Arabidopsis thaliana: one gene and its partner. The protein of the gene in region 1 interacts with the protein of each later gene in a pairwise test. Each region holds a gene or a part of one and is shown on either strand. Other genes may lie near its edges.

Region 1 (8,284 bases):
TTTGTAAAATGATTATATGCATTAAATAAAAAAAGTTTAAATTTGAGGGACTAAAGTATAAATAAAAAAATTGAACTCAAAAATAGAGTTGAGGATAGAGTTGTTCTATATATAGAGTCAATCTGTAGAAATCTCTATTTTTGAGTCAATTATAGAGTAGGGTTGGAGAAGAATTTTGCATTTTGACTCTAAAATAGAGTAGGGTTGGAGATGCTATAAGCCATTTTAGAGGTAAAGTGTCCGCAAAACGAAACCCTAATTATGAGAAACAAACAGGAAGAGAGGAAAATTAAGATTGCTTTCTCCTGCTAAGTCGATAATGAGATAGACTAGTAGCATTTAGCTTATGGTCATTTTGAAAAGTTCGTGTATGTATTTACTAGGCTAAACCGCTAAAGTAATTAGTATAGGAAAAAAGAATTTATAGAGTTCATTAGTCCGAGTATGTTAAACAATTAACAACCCCCGGTTCGCATATTGGAACCATAAAATACTTACAATAACTAAAATAGGCGTATAATGGATTGTCTAGCCATCGTGAAATCGCAATCTTAGTATAATTGACAAATGACAAATCAATTAACATTACACGATTTAATATTCGTTATAATGAGACAACATAAACATATAATTGAGATCATGATTTCACGACCAATGTTGGATCTATTTCAAATACTGCCTAGTGATTTAGCAACACCAAGTTTCTTTGTCTTTTGTATTTAGCTACATAACACCAAAAAGTGTTTGGTTTTCCTTTTCCGAATCAAAATTATAAATATTGTTCTATGAATGTTCTCTAAAACTTTTAAACATAAATCATTGAGAAAAATAATGCCATGTTATGTGTTTTGGGAGATCATTAAGATATCCCCTGAAAAGAAAAAACTCGTCTCGATCCGGAGAATATGTCATGTGAAAGGTGAAAGAAAAATGAATGTAAGGCACTTTTCATGGGACCAACTATAACCACAAGCCCATGTCAGAAACTCAGACCCAAATTTCTAATTACAGTATTTTTAGTAAGTTTTTTTCAGTGATATTTATCTGCTCGAAGACAATCAAATGACGGCAAAGAAAACATATAGGCATGGTCAATTTACAACTTGTTTGTATATATACAAATTGCAATGATTTTTTTTTTATGGCATTAGTTGAGTATACTAGTATCTATCAATTTCTTTTGTTAATGGGTCAAAGATTTTGCAAAAAACAAAAATAAAAATAAAATTAGAAAGATAATTAACCAAGTCTCATTAGCTCAATTAGTAAAGATGCTAGACAAAACTTAAGGTCACCGGTTCGAATGACGATAGGGACAAAACTAATATTATATATTTTGTTTTTGGGTCTAGAGAATTACAGGTTTTCCCCAAAACCTCCCTAAAAAAAGGAAAAATAAAGATACTCGAACACATTATTCAGCAATCAACATTGTTCATTATCATTTTGATCCTACTCATTTCACTGTTTTTGAACGTTCAATAATCAAACACAGAAAACTGTCATCTTTCATTTTAATATCTTATTTAACGTGAGACAAAAAAAAAAATTGAATTGGTAGAGTGACTTTGTCATCGTTTTTTTGTCAACATAATCACGTTTATAATTAAACAAAATACCTTAAAAACGTTTTATTCTGGCAATACAAACGTTCATATGGAGATCTCGAAGGTTTGGTTTGACTGACAGTTACTCTTTACCACTTGATTTTGCATGACTCACATGTGTATTGAAAACAACAAATTCAGCAGAATAATAGACAATCCTTTGATTATTTTGTATCAAACATGTTTAGTTGTAAGATTTTCCCATAAATGGCCCTACAAGTGGATTACAAAAATAAATGTCTTAGGCTCCGATTATTAACCATTTTTGAGGAAAAAAATGAGTACGAAAGTCGTGTTCATCTTTGTTCCTCAGTTTTTTTTTTATCATTTGCAAGGTATATTTGTTTCATTTTCAGACATATGGGTCCTACATTTTTTCTTATCATTCCTAAAAAAAAAGAATGGTAGAACAAAATTGTTCCACTCCAAAATTGTAGAGGAACCAAGAGAAACAAAAAAAATAAAATTCGTTTTTATTTATTAAATAAATTTAAAATAGCTTTTATGATAATATTTATAATTATATATATAAAATTTTCCATATATTTAGTATATATTGATATATAAATTGTTTTTTATCAAACTTTCAATTTAATGAATGTTATGAATTTATTTTAAATTAGTATAAATAAATGTTTTAAAGTGAATTTTTTACTATAAAATAAATAAATGTTTTGAAGAGAAATTTATAATATAATTTATTTTAAATTTATACAAAACTTTAATTTTAAAAGAAATTAATAAACAAAATTCAATAAATAATTTTTTAGTAATTATTATGTTAAATATTAATTCACCTTTCTGGTTACCATTTACCATAATCATTTTGTTCAATTCCTATGTTCCTCTTGGTTCCTACTTATGACCATTTTTCTTTTTTTCTTGTTTCTTTTTGTTATTTTTCATTCATATTCCTATCGTTTCTTTTGTTTATCACCAATCGGAGTCTTAAAAGTAATTACCAATCACAAAAGTTTTACCAAAAGCATCATTCTTAGTCTTTATTTTCAAAGTTAATTTTCACCGCCTTTAACTATTCCGATATTGCTTATACCTTCTTTTACCTATAACAAACTTGTATGGTTTTGTATCACCAATGGTATTAATGTATATTTGAGGGGGGGGGGGGGGAACTTATCTAAAGAAAAACAAATCATACCTAAAAAAATAGAGATGGAGTTTCTGAGGAGCAAGGGTAAGAGAGTGAATCATGGGACCCCATCTCACAAAGAACACACACATAACAAGAAACCAAAACAACTCATGTGGCTTTCTGCTCAAATCTACTGTTAGATTTTTCTTCAGACCAATGTTGGAGTAAAATGGATGTCAATTTTTTTACGATATCTAAGCACAAACGTACACAGTTTTCCACGTACGTTAACTCTTTCTCTTTGGTTTTACCAATTCTAACCAGTCACCACACAAAACCATTCTGCATCTCTTGTCTCTTCTCTCTTTTTCCTTATCTTTCTTCTAAATAAATAATATTTATACACTTACTCTATTCAACAATAATTAAGTAGGATTAATCATCGCCTTCTATGACAAGCCTCATGAAACTTGCTTCTTACTCTTTGACTTTGCAAAACTTTTCACATGAAAAATCTGCTTTCTGTTTAACTCATTAGCTAATACTTTTATATCCTTAATAAAGAAAAATCATATATACAGTACTTATATCGCATAGTCATCTTACCACCACTTATTTTGTATCATGTACACATTTACATCAAACAGTGTTAGTGTTAAAGTCAGTAACGCCAAATTTTGCATTCATACTATAAAATCTGAAATGATTGTTTTCAACACTAACTCTTAACTTTTAGGTTTCAGAATTTAATCAACAACAATATGATTCTGTACTTTTTCGTTTTTACCTTTTAACTTGTTATCATTCGAAGTTCTTTGTTCAAAAGCTATAAATCTATTTCCATACTTAACCACTACTACTAGATTTAGTGAACTCTTAACATGAAAAATATCTAATTTCAAAAATAATTTAGATATTGGTACAAAGATCCCCAAATGTTCCATACATTGTGAGAATTGATAGAAAAGGGAAGAAAAAAATGTATAACACATTGTATAAGTTACATAACTCAAGTATATATATTGAAACAAAGAATAAGGTATAATGAAAGTAGAATCAGCAGAAGTTCCATAATCTGATATCTCCTTCCTCAAAGAAATCATCAGAAAGTGATGTTGTCAAATACGGCGCGGAGACTCCATTAATGAACATGAACTGATCATCACCATCAAAGCAGTTGTACCATGATGATGATTCAGACAAGGAGACTTGTTGGTCATACTGTGACATGGAGACAACATCATAGAGATCTTCAGATGGAGAGGAAAGCAATGGAGATGAAGTAGAGACTGATGATGAGGAAGGATCTGTGTTGGCAGCAGCAGCTGCAGCTGCTACTCTTTGTATAGACTTAGGGGACATGTCATTGTTGTTATCACCATTGTTGATAATATGGTAGAGAGAAGTTGAGATCTCTGGGAAGTTGAGATTATTAGCTGAGGATCCTTTAAGACATAGGAGTGCTGCGTCGTAGGCTCTAGCCGCGGCTTCAGCAGTTGAGTAAGAACCAAGCCAGATCCTTGTCTTTTGATTAGGAGCTCTGATCTCTGAAACCCATGAACCCCAACTTCTCATTCTCACTCCCTTGTACTTCTTCATCCTTATGGATGATGATGATGTTGATGAGGATGATGAAGATGATGATGATGGAGATGACATTCTCTTTGGTGTCTTTTGAAGTGTTTTCACCATTTTTGATACTAATTAAGGGAGGAAGTTGGAGGAGAAGAATGGTGTGTTTCTATTTATAGAGAACAAAAATGGAAAGAGAAACATAAAGAACTCAAAAGAAAAAAAAATACTATGAACATAGTCAAAGAAAGTAGCATGGGGCACACACAAAGAGATTAATACTTTTCTTTTAAATAATGTAAGAGACAGGTGTTTTTAATTTATTTATAAAAAAGATTTTCCTTAATCACAATCCCATATGCTACACCCAATCACAGATCACTAATAAGAGAATCCCTATTTTTTATTTTCAAAAATGCATATTTATTGATTTGACCTCCAAGGCTCCAAGCTAATTCTTTAGTTCCACAAAAGTACACTATTGTTTACAACTAAAAGTTACTACTTCTTGAGCCTCAGAATCTTGAATAAAAATGTAAATAACAAAAATCAGTACTCATATGAGAATATTAATATCAAGATACGACAGAAAGTTATAAAACATTATAAGAGGAAACATTGGATTCTATTTTTAGAGGCAACTTCTAGGAGCTAAGAGCATGTGATTTTTTAAGGTACAAACAAAAGACAAAGTTAATCATAAGAATAATTTAACTATCGAATTATTTTGATAAATGAGATGCAAAATGAAATCACATGCATGATTATAGATATATATATATATATATATATAATACAAAAATTACAAGTTTTTTTTTTTGGTTAAAAGGCCTAAACATAATTCAGAATCTTAAACGTTAAAGTAGCTGAAGTCATGTTTACCAAGGTAATGCACAAGAGCTGGTGCTCTTCTGTCTTAATGGGACTTTTAAAACCGCGTTAACTAGCTCTTTGTGTCTCCTTGTCACACGTAAAATTCTCTCTGTAAAAAGGCTTTTACTAAATTAATTAAATTCAGATTCTTTTGTCAAACTGCATTGTAATATTAAATAATATTGTACTACTAACTAAATAAACTAAAGTAAAATCGTCAAACCTCATAATAGTCTTGCACTGTTTATTAACTAAACTAATCTGCGGTTATATTTAGTCGGCACTAGAATTAAATTAAGACGCGTAAGAGTACTACTAAACTAATCTATTCGTGTTCACGTTCTAGCCAGACGACTCTATTTCTTTTTTCTCTTTTGGGGTACTATAATATAACAATAATGAAGGTTTTTTATTCATATCAAGAAACGAATCAACAGAATTGTTCGTTGGAAAATGCAGGCAACATTTTACAAAAGTTTATGATAAAACAAAACCAACAATGTTCTACCATTTTTATATTAATATTTGCACTCAATGACTGTAATTACAAACGTGGTATTTGAATAAATAATCAAATTAATTCCATCTAAAGAGAATGATTCAAATTTTGACTATTTTACTTTCTTTTAAGAAAAATAATAGTTATAACTAAATCTTACGTGACGAATTCTTTAACATTAGTATTCTATGTGCACATCTAATTTATCAAAATGAAGTTTTTATATGTTTTGGCTCTTATATCTACAACTTGTAGAACACATTTCCTCTACTACATTATTTTCGTTATGTAGACATCTAATTTATAAAACATATTTATGTTTTTGTCATATAATCATGTTATCTATGTTTTTGGATATATCTATATTATTTAGCGGGTTAAAATATTTGTATATCCAAGCTTATCAAATAAATTATACTTTTCAAAGTCATTTACGGAAAAAAAACATTTTACATTTTCTCTCAATATTTTACCAATATGACTTTGCTATTTTCTAAAAACAACTATAACATTCTCATTCACCGAAAGATATCTCCATTTCATACCATTTAACTAATTCACTATTTTACATTTATTTTTATTTACCAATAAATATTTTCTTTTCACCACAATGTCACCATATTCACCCAATCACATTCTTTGTTGATTGTTTTAGTGTCTAGAGCTCGACAGTCTGAAGCTATACGTGTAACTGTGTAAGAACAAGAAGAAGATGAGTTACATTGTGTCATAAAGCTTGAGTGATCGGATCGGGTAAAATCCGAGAAGCTAAAGCAATTAAGCTAGCTACCTAACGAAGAATAGTGAGCGAACCCTACCTGAGGAAATAGACAAATAGAATCATAAATGAAGATTCATGCATAATGCATGTACTTTTGCACTAAAAATATCCTATTCGTAGTTTGGACAATCTTACCTGGCACCGTACTCAATATATGACCTTCCGTACCTTTCTTATCAATCAATCAATATTTTTCTTACAAGAAATATTTAACAAAGTTTTGTGGTTACAAGAAATAAATTAGAAAGAAACATTTAATGGTAACGAGTTAAGCCAGAGTGGAAATAAATTCGTGTGGTGGAAACTTAAGAGGAACGTACGGAGAAGTTTCTCATTAGGATTGAAGAGTGTGTTGGATGGTGTAGAGGCAAATGCACATGTGTGGATTGTGACAGAACAGAATCAAATCCTTTGTTTTTGATTTCATTAGATTGAGAAATTTCCTAGAAGCAGAAAAGATTTATGACAATAGAGATTTCAAGATTTTAGTTGTGGTTGTTGAGTGAATTCAGTAGGAGACAATACTCCAAAATTTACATATTTTTTCTTTGATACTGTAAAATTGATTCAAGCCTGGTTCGTTTTTCCCACCTTGGCTCCAAATTGTAGGAGCTACATCAAAGTTCACTGCAGGAGATTAATATTGCCTAGTTAGATATAGAGTCAATCGTCTAAATCTATTTGAGTGCGTTTGTGAATCAACATATGGTCAAGAAGCCTATCTTAGAACAACATATGGACATCATTGACGTCTTCAAATGATGTCCGATCTTGGCAAAAGCTTTGTCCTAATGTTTAAATAGCCCATTTCCACATCTGTAATTTGTTGGGATATCTCGTCGTGCGTTCATCTTTGAATCCTTTTTTCAATGCATTGAAAACAATGATTTTAGTTCAAACACGCTTAATTTAGCTCTAAATATTTTTTAGGACGAGGTACAAAAAATATTGCTTTTGGGGTCCATGAGTTATAGAAATGATAGGTGTGCACTAGCTATCACTTGATGTTAGGGTCCTTAGGTTGAGAGTGGATATGAAGGCCTAGATAATGGTACTCGAGGCGCTATAAATGGTATCAAAGTTGAACCTAGATGAGTGTGGAGTCATGTGACCTCCCACCATCGAAAATGACGGCCCTGATACGCAACAAGGACATTGTGCTTGATTGGTAAGGGTGATGGTAATATATACCTTGATTTTTAGAAATATACAGTAAAACCTCTATAAATTAATAATGTTGGGATTGTAAAATTTTATTAATTTAGAGAGGTTTTAATTTATCGATAAATTAATAAATTTTATAGAGAGACTTTCCTAATTTAGTAACTTTTAAAACATTTCTATAAGATTCTTTTTTCTAGAAAATATCTTTGTAGAATCAATTACAAGTTAAAAATAATATCATGTATAGAAAACAACAGTAAAAGTTTTTGATACAGTAACATATTAGAATTAAATTTCAAATAAGAATAAATACAAATTTAAGCAAAACAATATTAGAAATATGTTTCAAAGAAATTTCTTACATATAATGTATATATATAATTGATATATTTATGCAATTATTAATTTATAATATTGATGGGACCATATATTTACATAAGACTTTAAAAAAAATTATTATCTTATTAATTTATCGATTTGTGTTACTTTTTACACTGGTCCCAACTCGGAACCGGAAGAATTTATTAATTTATAGAGATTATTAATTTATCGAGTATTAATTTATAGAGGTTATACTGTAGTTGTACATGAAAAGCGCTTAAGGAAATTGATTTGTTTACCTATGTCACTAAGTAGCCTCGACTCAACAATAATTAGAGTTTTAGGGTAATCTTTCTTTTTTGGATCCTTAGAGC
Region 2 (8,390 bases), on another chromosome or scaffold:
TCTTTGTAACATTTTTTTCTTTCTCATCCAGATTATTTACCAAATTATTTAGTTGAATTGTATTTAGTGGTTTAGGTATTTATGATTATGTTGACAAAAAATGTAATATTTCTTTATGTTTTGATTAGTGGTAATATTACTTTTTTTTTCTTTTGTCGATGATAGACCCTGTCCAAAGTAACAAAAGGGCCAAGTTACAATAATAAATAAATAATAGAACCCCACTTGAGAAAACTTAAGACTAATCAAGTAGGGAGTTAGATTTTGCATTAGAAGGATATAAATGCATAGTCAAGAAATGTGCAAAAAGGGTAATTCCAAAGTGCCGGTTTCAGGTCACAGCTGTGATTTATGTCTATATGTCTTGATTCAAGTAATCAACTAATTTCACTCTCCAGCCTTGTTTTTAGTTTTTTACTCTCTTTCGTGTTTGTTGGCTTCAACCATAATTGTTACTATTACTTCTGTCTAAAACGAAATACAAACTAATTTTGCAATTTATCATCAATGATATACCACACTACGTACTAATAGCAAAAGAAAATTTAGTTTACGTAATATATTTTAACCTTACTTTTTAGAATCGACAATGTAATCCATTATGTTAGTTTCAGTAGCTAATGAGACTCTGTTGGTGTTGGTGTTGTTGTTAGATTCCATTGTAAAAAGTAAACTGTAATAGGAATTTAATCTAGTTTCTTAACAAAAAAATAAAAATAATCTAGGTACATGATTATTATTAGTAGTACTGAAACTTCTAGAAGAATAGAGGCTTAAGAAATGTTTTTTACTGCAAGCAAAGAGAAAAGGTAGATGCATGAACATCCCAATGCTTTTTAGATGTTATAGGTAAGTTGACGGGGACCGGAGGCTGATGTACTTTCCTGTTGTACATTGTTTTGTTGGAGTCCCAATGAGGTCCTTTGTCTACATTTCTCCTCCTTGAGAAAATCACAAACTTACATTAAACAAAATAAAATTTTAAAAGACTTCTTTTTTAACTAACAGAAAAGAATTGGCTATTATCTATCATTTTCTTCAACCAAAATAATTGAATTATGTAGTAAAATAGAAGAAATTCTCATATTAGATAGCAGGAACAATTGATAAACTAAACCAACAGAAAAAAGGAAAAAAAAAAGGGAATAAAGTCAATAAACAGTATAGGTAAATTATGTTTAATTTGATAATTTTGAATAATATTTTAACTAGCAAATTTCACTTCCTGCAAAAACATTATTTATCACACTAAAAACACAAAGTTGATAGCCTAATGGTTTATACGAACTCTTTAAAAACGGCAAACGTATTTCAGTAACACAATATTAAATACAAGATGTAATATTAATGAAAATAAATAGAGCATTTGCCGAATTTAATGAAATAGTAAAGCAAGTTGGGTGGTGCCAGCAAAATAAAAAATCGAGAAATTTTCATTATTCGTAGATTTTGAATATGGAGGATGCATTGCACCTAACAGCAGTGGTTTTATATGCTTTCCCGTGGATTTGGCCTTTCTTTGGTATTTATTATTTGACCATTTGGTTTATATTCAACATTTTTCTATTTTAAGTAGTTTCATTTTTTATTTGGTCTGCTCCTTCTCAACTTGGTAGGCCTTTACAGCTTCGTTGATGCAGTCGACCCAGAAAAGTTATTCCCTTTGCAGTTTTTGGTTAAAGAATTTATGGTAAGACAAACTAGAAAGAAAGACTTAAACATTTCGAAGATCTTTTGGTTTTCTTTGTATATTATAAATTACATAGCTAGGTAATATAATCGATCATGTTAAAATTTAAGACACTAAAAACTAAATTTGAAAATAAGATTAGGTATTTTATTAGGATATTATTTTTAATTTACAAATATGCTTGTTTTTTTTTTTTTTGGTGCAAACAAATATGCCTTAGTATTTATTTGAAACAAAATGGGCCAAAATTATTCTTCCAATTAAGGCCCAAAAGCGATCATTCACCTAATTTTAGATCAGGCAGGCTTGATAATTGGGAAGATTATTATGTGTTTTTAAACACTGATTCACCATCCATAAGTTATGTGCTTCTGTTTTGATTTCAGGGTTTTTAAATATGTAATTTTGCCGAATCAAACGGAAAAAAATTGAATACGAAAGGTTAAAAAAATGACTTCAGATGATTTTTTTGTTAAAGACTTTCAGATAATTAGTGTCCACATATGACATCGGTGTGTAACCACAGATGTGAGATGACAAATCCTCATAAAATATACACAGATATATAAACCTTTACACTGTTGCACACAACCCATGTTCGCGTTGTTCTCCTTCCAAATCGGTACCAAAACGTTTGCCCGTGAAACTTTCATTTCGCCAAAATAATATAATATATTAAAATTAATATACAAAAAAAAAACCTATTTCTAAAAAGAACCTCGAATTTTAACGAGAGACAAAACAGAAAAAATATATATAGCATCGTTAATTATTAAATCATGTAAACGAGTGTCCACATTTCTCGTACAAGTACAACAATCTATCACCTAATTCTTCGGAATTCACCTGGCCATTTTTTATCTGAAGATGCATAGAGTAAAAGAGTCGCTCTCCATGAGACCTTGAAGATGAAGCACCCACAAGAACCAACCCATCTTCTTCTACACCACTCAAGACATTCCCAAACGAACATTTTTCAGTCTGTAACGATGAAATTTGGACCATCACTTCAGTCTCACTGAGCCTAGTCGAAGAAACTGTCGACGCATAGCTTGTAACCCCTTCCTCTGACTTACTGTTTTGGTCGGTGTAAACGAGATCTCTTTGACCCGAAATTTGAAACGAGAGCTCTTCTTTCTTCTTCATGAGCTTTTTAACTTGCTCTTGCAGCTCTGGTATGTACTTCAATGCTTGTGAAACTGTTGCCGAAACACTTAACTTCTTCTGCAAGAAAATACATAAAAAATAGGACAGATCTTTCAGTTTATGTTACTTGGGACCGATTTTTTTTTCCTTCTTTGCGTTAGAAAAAACAAAACATATCACTGTTTGTATCAACACCAAAATTGCAAAAGCAATGAATAACAACTTTTAGCATTTGCAAGAAAACATTTGATATTTTTTTGTTTCTGTTGAATATTAAACTAAACTTTCAAATTTTTTCATAATTTTAGAAATAGAAAAGTATATAGAATTAACAGTTACCGTTTGATTGGTGGGAGGAAGACAAGAACGAAGAGATGAGAACATTGTGTTGATCTTCTTGCGACGCTCACGTTCACTCGCGTTGTGATTAAGCTTCTTCATCACCACGGGATTGTCTAGTAATGTTCTGTTATTCTCAGACGACACATTCTCATGAGTCACCGTCAAGTCCGGCAACGGAAAATCAAGAAACGTGTTGGATACGTCGTCGGTTTCATAGAAGCTATGATCTCCGCAAGGCCAGCCGAAATTGGGATATAATGGAGGGACAAGTGCACACATTTTGAGTTTTAGATAGTTACTCTGTTCTTTTTTGTCTCTCTCTAGAAGCTGTTTCGGTTGGGATTATGCTGATGTGTTAGTTGGATTATTTATGTGGACACTCATTTTTGTTTATATATACACTGATACACACACACGGACACAAGAAAAATACTAATGACTCTGTGTTGTATATGTAATAAATTAAAATACATTGGGTCACGAGTGGACATGCGTTGACACGTGGTTGAGCACTTTTCCCCCAAGTAGGAGCATGTTCCAAGGATCACCTGTTGACCTCCGGATACAGGCATTAATATCCTAATGTTCTTATCGTAATTTATAACATAAGTTTACACTATTGTATCGTATAATTACATGAATATGAATGTATGAGTATTAATCAAAAATTCTAAATATTTTATAATGTGTCAAAATAGAAATTCGATTTATTAAGCAAATTATTTAGTTAGCAAAAAATAACAGTTAAATAGGAACAACTACTATAAGAAGATACAGAATATGCAATCACATTTTTCTACCACAAATACGTTAAGTAAACTAAGACCAAAAATATGAATTATGACGCAGCTGGAAGAAAAGAGACAGACACTGAGAAGAAGTACACGAGGATACACGGGTTTGGTGGACGTGGACTATTGAGAGGCACGAGCAAATCACGTGGAATATGTTAAGGCTTTTCTCCTGAATCCAACCATTTCTATGTAGTATATACGTAGGCATTAAGTGTTTACAAATATTTAACAAATGTATATTCCTTATTTAAATTTATTAATTACATCTTATATGGTGTAGTGTCTATCGTTTATTTTGTATTATATTATAGCCTTTCTGATCATATTACACAAGTCAACTCCGGTCATCTCGGTCAGGCCAAAAGCCTTGATTCTATTCTATTATCCATGGACGAGGATAAAAGAGAGACGGAGATATTTTGGATTTTTCCTCATTCTATTTACGCCTCTTTAAATCCAAAGATCTAAATGGGCTTCTCTAAAAACAATTGGCCCTAAGATAATTGCTTTTTCTTTTTCTTTTTTTTGCAATGAGTTTACATGTTTGTAGCCCATTATATGTAGATAATCTCTAAAATGTGAAGTATTTGACTATTTGTCAACAATTATGAACATAATGTTAAAATACAACCCACAATAATCACAGATACAGTTTGATTAGATTTATCCATTGATATGTTGGCAACTTTTGGTATTGTCCATACGTTGCCTAGGTTCAACTCTAAATTTCCATTTTTCTTGATCTCTTCTTGATCACATATTTAAAGAACTCAATTCTCCTTCTTTTATAAGCAAATGTCGAAAACAGTACAACACTTCGGTTCGGATTAAGAACGATCATGAAGCTTATTATTGATCTTTTATTATACATTGTTTTCTGGTTTTCTACATTAGCCGCAACATATATTACACACATTATGCTACAAAAGAGAAATGGAATATACAAAACTGCTCACACAAAAAAAGAAGAAGCTAAAACTGAAGTCTGAACATGTCTCTGAACCATTTCTCTCATATGCTTTTGCTTCAGACCTTCACTCCTATCCGTTGAGCAACCTGCAGAACAAAACAAAAGCACATTCATTTCAAGTAAACCAATGATTTTTAAATTCTTGAGAGATTTGAGCAAAACCAGAGAGATTCGTTTACCTGTTTAAATGACGTAACTTCACTTCCCCAGAGCCAAGCGTCACAGCCTGCGTCTCTAGCTCCCCATACATCATTCCTACGGTCATCTCCTACATGAACCGCATCCTCGGGATTCACTTCTAATAACTCACAAGCTTTTAAGAAGATAGTCGGGTTTGGTTTTTCCGCTTCAACCTGTTAAACATTCAACCAAAAACCTTAAGTATTTACACACTCACTCCCAAAACGTTTCGGATCATCAACAAAAATATATAAACGAAAAGAGGTTATCTTACTTCTGCTGAAACAGCTACAGCATCAAACCAATCTTCACATCTCAATGCACGTAGGAGAGGTCTTAACCGAGTATCGAAGTTGGAGACTATTGCAACTTTTACACCCGCTTCTTTAATAGCCTTAAACACTTTCCCTGCATCTGGATCACATAACTTCCACGCCTGGGAAAGCAAATGGAGAAATCTCAAGAGAAAGAACCAAAACTATTACTGAAGCATATGGAGAAGTAGTAGTAGAGATCAAACCTGTTCTGTAGTAAAATAGCTGTAAAGCTCTTCAAAGTACTGTGAATCCGAGCAGCCTGTTGATGCAGTCACTATATACTGCCAGAAAGGTCTTGCATCGTTTACATATCTACAAACAAAGAATCAAAAATCAAGACCAGCACAGAAGTAAATGTCTTAAGCAGACCCATTTATGAATCCAACAGAGATTCCACAGCAAATGTATATTCGAAAGAGTCAGTATTAAACCAGATATCTTTGTACGGAGATGCATCACTAGAGTCATAATCATGATCAAGTATTAAAAGTTGTCATACAAACAAATAGAAAGCCACAAAAGAACATTTTGCCTAGTGGTGATTTTCTTGGAGTAGAAGAAACAAAAAGAGAAAGAAGATGATTCTAAATACCTAAGATGAGATCCACCCCATGGTTTCTGATAAGCTCTTCTGTATCTAGTAAGTATCTCAGCCTCCGAGTACTCCACTCCGTACTTCTCTCCAATATTCTTATATATCTACAAAATCAGAATCCATAACACATCTTAGAATCTACACAATAAAAATCTCTATCTACTCTTCTAAGAACAAACAGAGATCATAAAAAGCCTAAGACATTCTTAACATAACAATAAGCATCAAATTTTTACTCAGAATCAAACATGAATCCTCAAAATGCTCATAGCTTTCTAAAAAATTTCAATCACAGAGCAAGAAACATGTGAAGCATTTGTTCAACTGTTGAATCACACAAAGTAACAGAGAAATTTGAGAGACCTGAGCAGTAGGTTGAGCGGGAACAAGGAGAGTACCAACAGCATCAACAAGCAAAGCCTTATGAGTGATCTCACCATAGAGAGATCTCCTATAATCTTCATACTCTTTCAACACACTTCCCAATCCGTAAATCCCACTAGATTCATCATCCGCTACAACAGCGGAAGATGACGAAGCAGAGGAGATCCAACGGCTGAGCAATGCTCCGGTTCTCGCGATCCGATCCGTTCCATGAGTAATCCCACCGGAGAAGAGAAGTGTCGTCGTCGCCTTCCTGATTCTCAACGCCATTAGCTGCTTCTGTATGATTGATTTGATTGTTCCGTTATCTTCGGCTTCGTCTTCGTCTGGGGATTATAAAAGGAGAAGAAGCGTGTGCGGAGAATCTTTAACGCATAAAGAGAGATGTGTTGTTACGGTTATACCCTTTCATATTATTATCCGTCTACAGTTTTTCTACCCTATCCGCTAATCAGAAGAACTGATGATGTGGCATTTTTAAAAACTTGTTATTACACTCTTAATCTTTAATCATGAGTTTTTTTTTTTTGTTAAAGAAACCATATGAGTCTTATAATCCTGAGATATGAAGAAAGGGTTGTGTTTTGAATTTTGGTTTTTAAAGTTGAGATCCAGATTAAAGTTATGTACTTGACACACAAAAATAGCTTTATCTTTCTTTATAAAAAAACAAAAAGTAAAAAAAGATTTATCATTATTTCTTTTTCAATCAGAATTATTTATCTTGTTCTATATATTGATTATTGATATATGGATCCGTGTTTTACATGCAGATATTCTTCAAGAATTCACAAACGTCTACTTGTCTGATTGATGATATATTACGTTGTTGAAACATCAAATTAGCCAATAAAAAGGAATAAATGCATACAATTAGTTTTCTTGTAGTATTTATTTTCACATCGAGAAGGATACTATTATTTCGTGGAAAAACGGTTAAGCTTAAGCTTCATTAAATTTTAGCTTTCACATCGACAAGGATAAAAAGTTTTATCCACAAATATTTTTGGATAAAAGTCATGAAAAGAAAAGAAGTGGGAAAATTGGGCCCTAACCAATTATGTGTCATGCAAAGTAATATAAGGATACAATTGAAGAACTGGTCTATTTTAGAGGGACCTCTTTAGAAATTCGTGGCTTATAAATTGACAAACGGGCCCACGTGTTGACAAATATGGGCCACAAAATTTAAGGAGTATATAGTTTTGGGCCATTTTATGCATAATTTGATTGACTATTAACAAAATGCCGAATTCACCAACATGGCTAAGGAAAATGTTTTGTTCCACAAAATTTTATGGCTTTGGTTTATTTCATGAGCTTTTTGGTCGATTTCATCATTTCGTATGGAAAAACGAACAAAATAAGATTTGGTTTAGTGTTTCTTTGGATAGACAATGAGTCCTTTATACGTATGTGTCTATGTGGTATAATAAGACATCACGATGTTAAAGAAGATTAGAAAAAGTCTTATGGATAAGGAAACATAAATCCATAATTGGACCCATTTTGGAGAATTTTGAGTTAACGTTCAAAAACGACGTTTCTTCTCAAGTTTTTCTTTATCCAACCTTTTCCAGTAAAACTAACAGTTAAGTATTAAATAGATTTCGAAGCATATGATTTATTCATAATGTTTACTTACTTAGAAAGTTCATTTGGTAAAATAAGAATAAGAAGAACATCCAAGGGTTCAAAAAGGATCACTCGGGAAATAGATGAAACGTCTTAAACGCCAGTAATGAAGATCTCTCTGAACTCGAGTGTCTAACGTAGTAACGTTCGATACCCATTTTTAAAAAGTAATAACGTTTTCTAATCATTATGCTAGCCTCTTCTCTTGCTTAGATAATGGTTTGGTTAGGTTATTTTATCAGAAATGTTGAATTTGGTCTAAGTAGTGCTATTTCAGTTCTATCTCCTATACCGGTCGGTTCATGGTTTCTGTTTCTAATCCCTTTTTGCTTTCTTT

The links. Proteins that work in one complex are often made in the same cells at the same time.
Region 2: the proteins of AT1G44830 (region 1) and BHLH100 interact in a two-hybrid assay, tested with the Arabidopsis thaliana proteins (one large-scale study listed by BioGRID).

What each region holds. Positions count from the first base shown.
Region 1 is NC_003070.9:16,929,900-16,938,183, reverse strand, and holds AT1G44830 (Integrase-type DNA-binding superfamily protein), read right to left. Parts: upstream 4,486-8,284; 5' UTR 4,393-4,485; coding exon 3,757-4,392; 3' UTR 3,616-3,756; downstream 1-3,615.
Region 2 is NC_003071.7:17,195,864-17,204,253, forward strand, and holds BHLH100 (basic helix-loop-helix protein 100), read right to left. Parts: upstream 3,592-8,390; 5' UTR 3,458-3,591; coding exon 3,176-3,457; intron 2,915-3,175; coding exon 2,468-2,914; 3' UTR 2,174-2,467; downstream 1-2,173. Other genes in the region: AT2G41231 (uncharacterized protein), read left to right, coding at 1-52; AT2G41250 (Haloacid dehalogenase-like hydrolase (HAD) superfamily protein), read right to left, coding at 4,999-5,028, 5,122-5,295, 5,397-5,558, 5,643-5,751, 6,032-6,138, 6,398-6,688. UniProt on the Arabidopsis thaliana protein: Plays a role in metal homeostasis. Confers tolerance to high zinc (Zn) and nickel (Ni).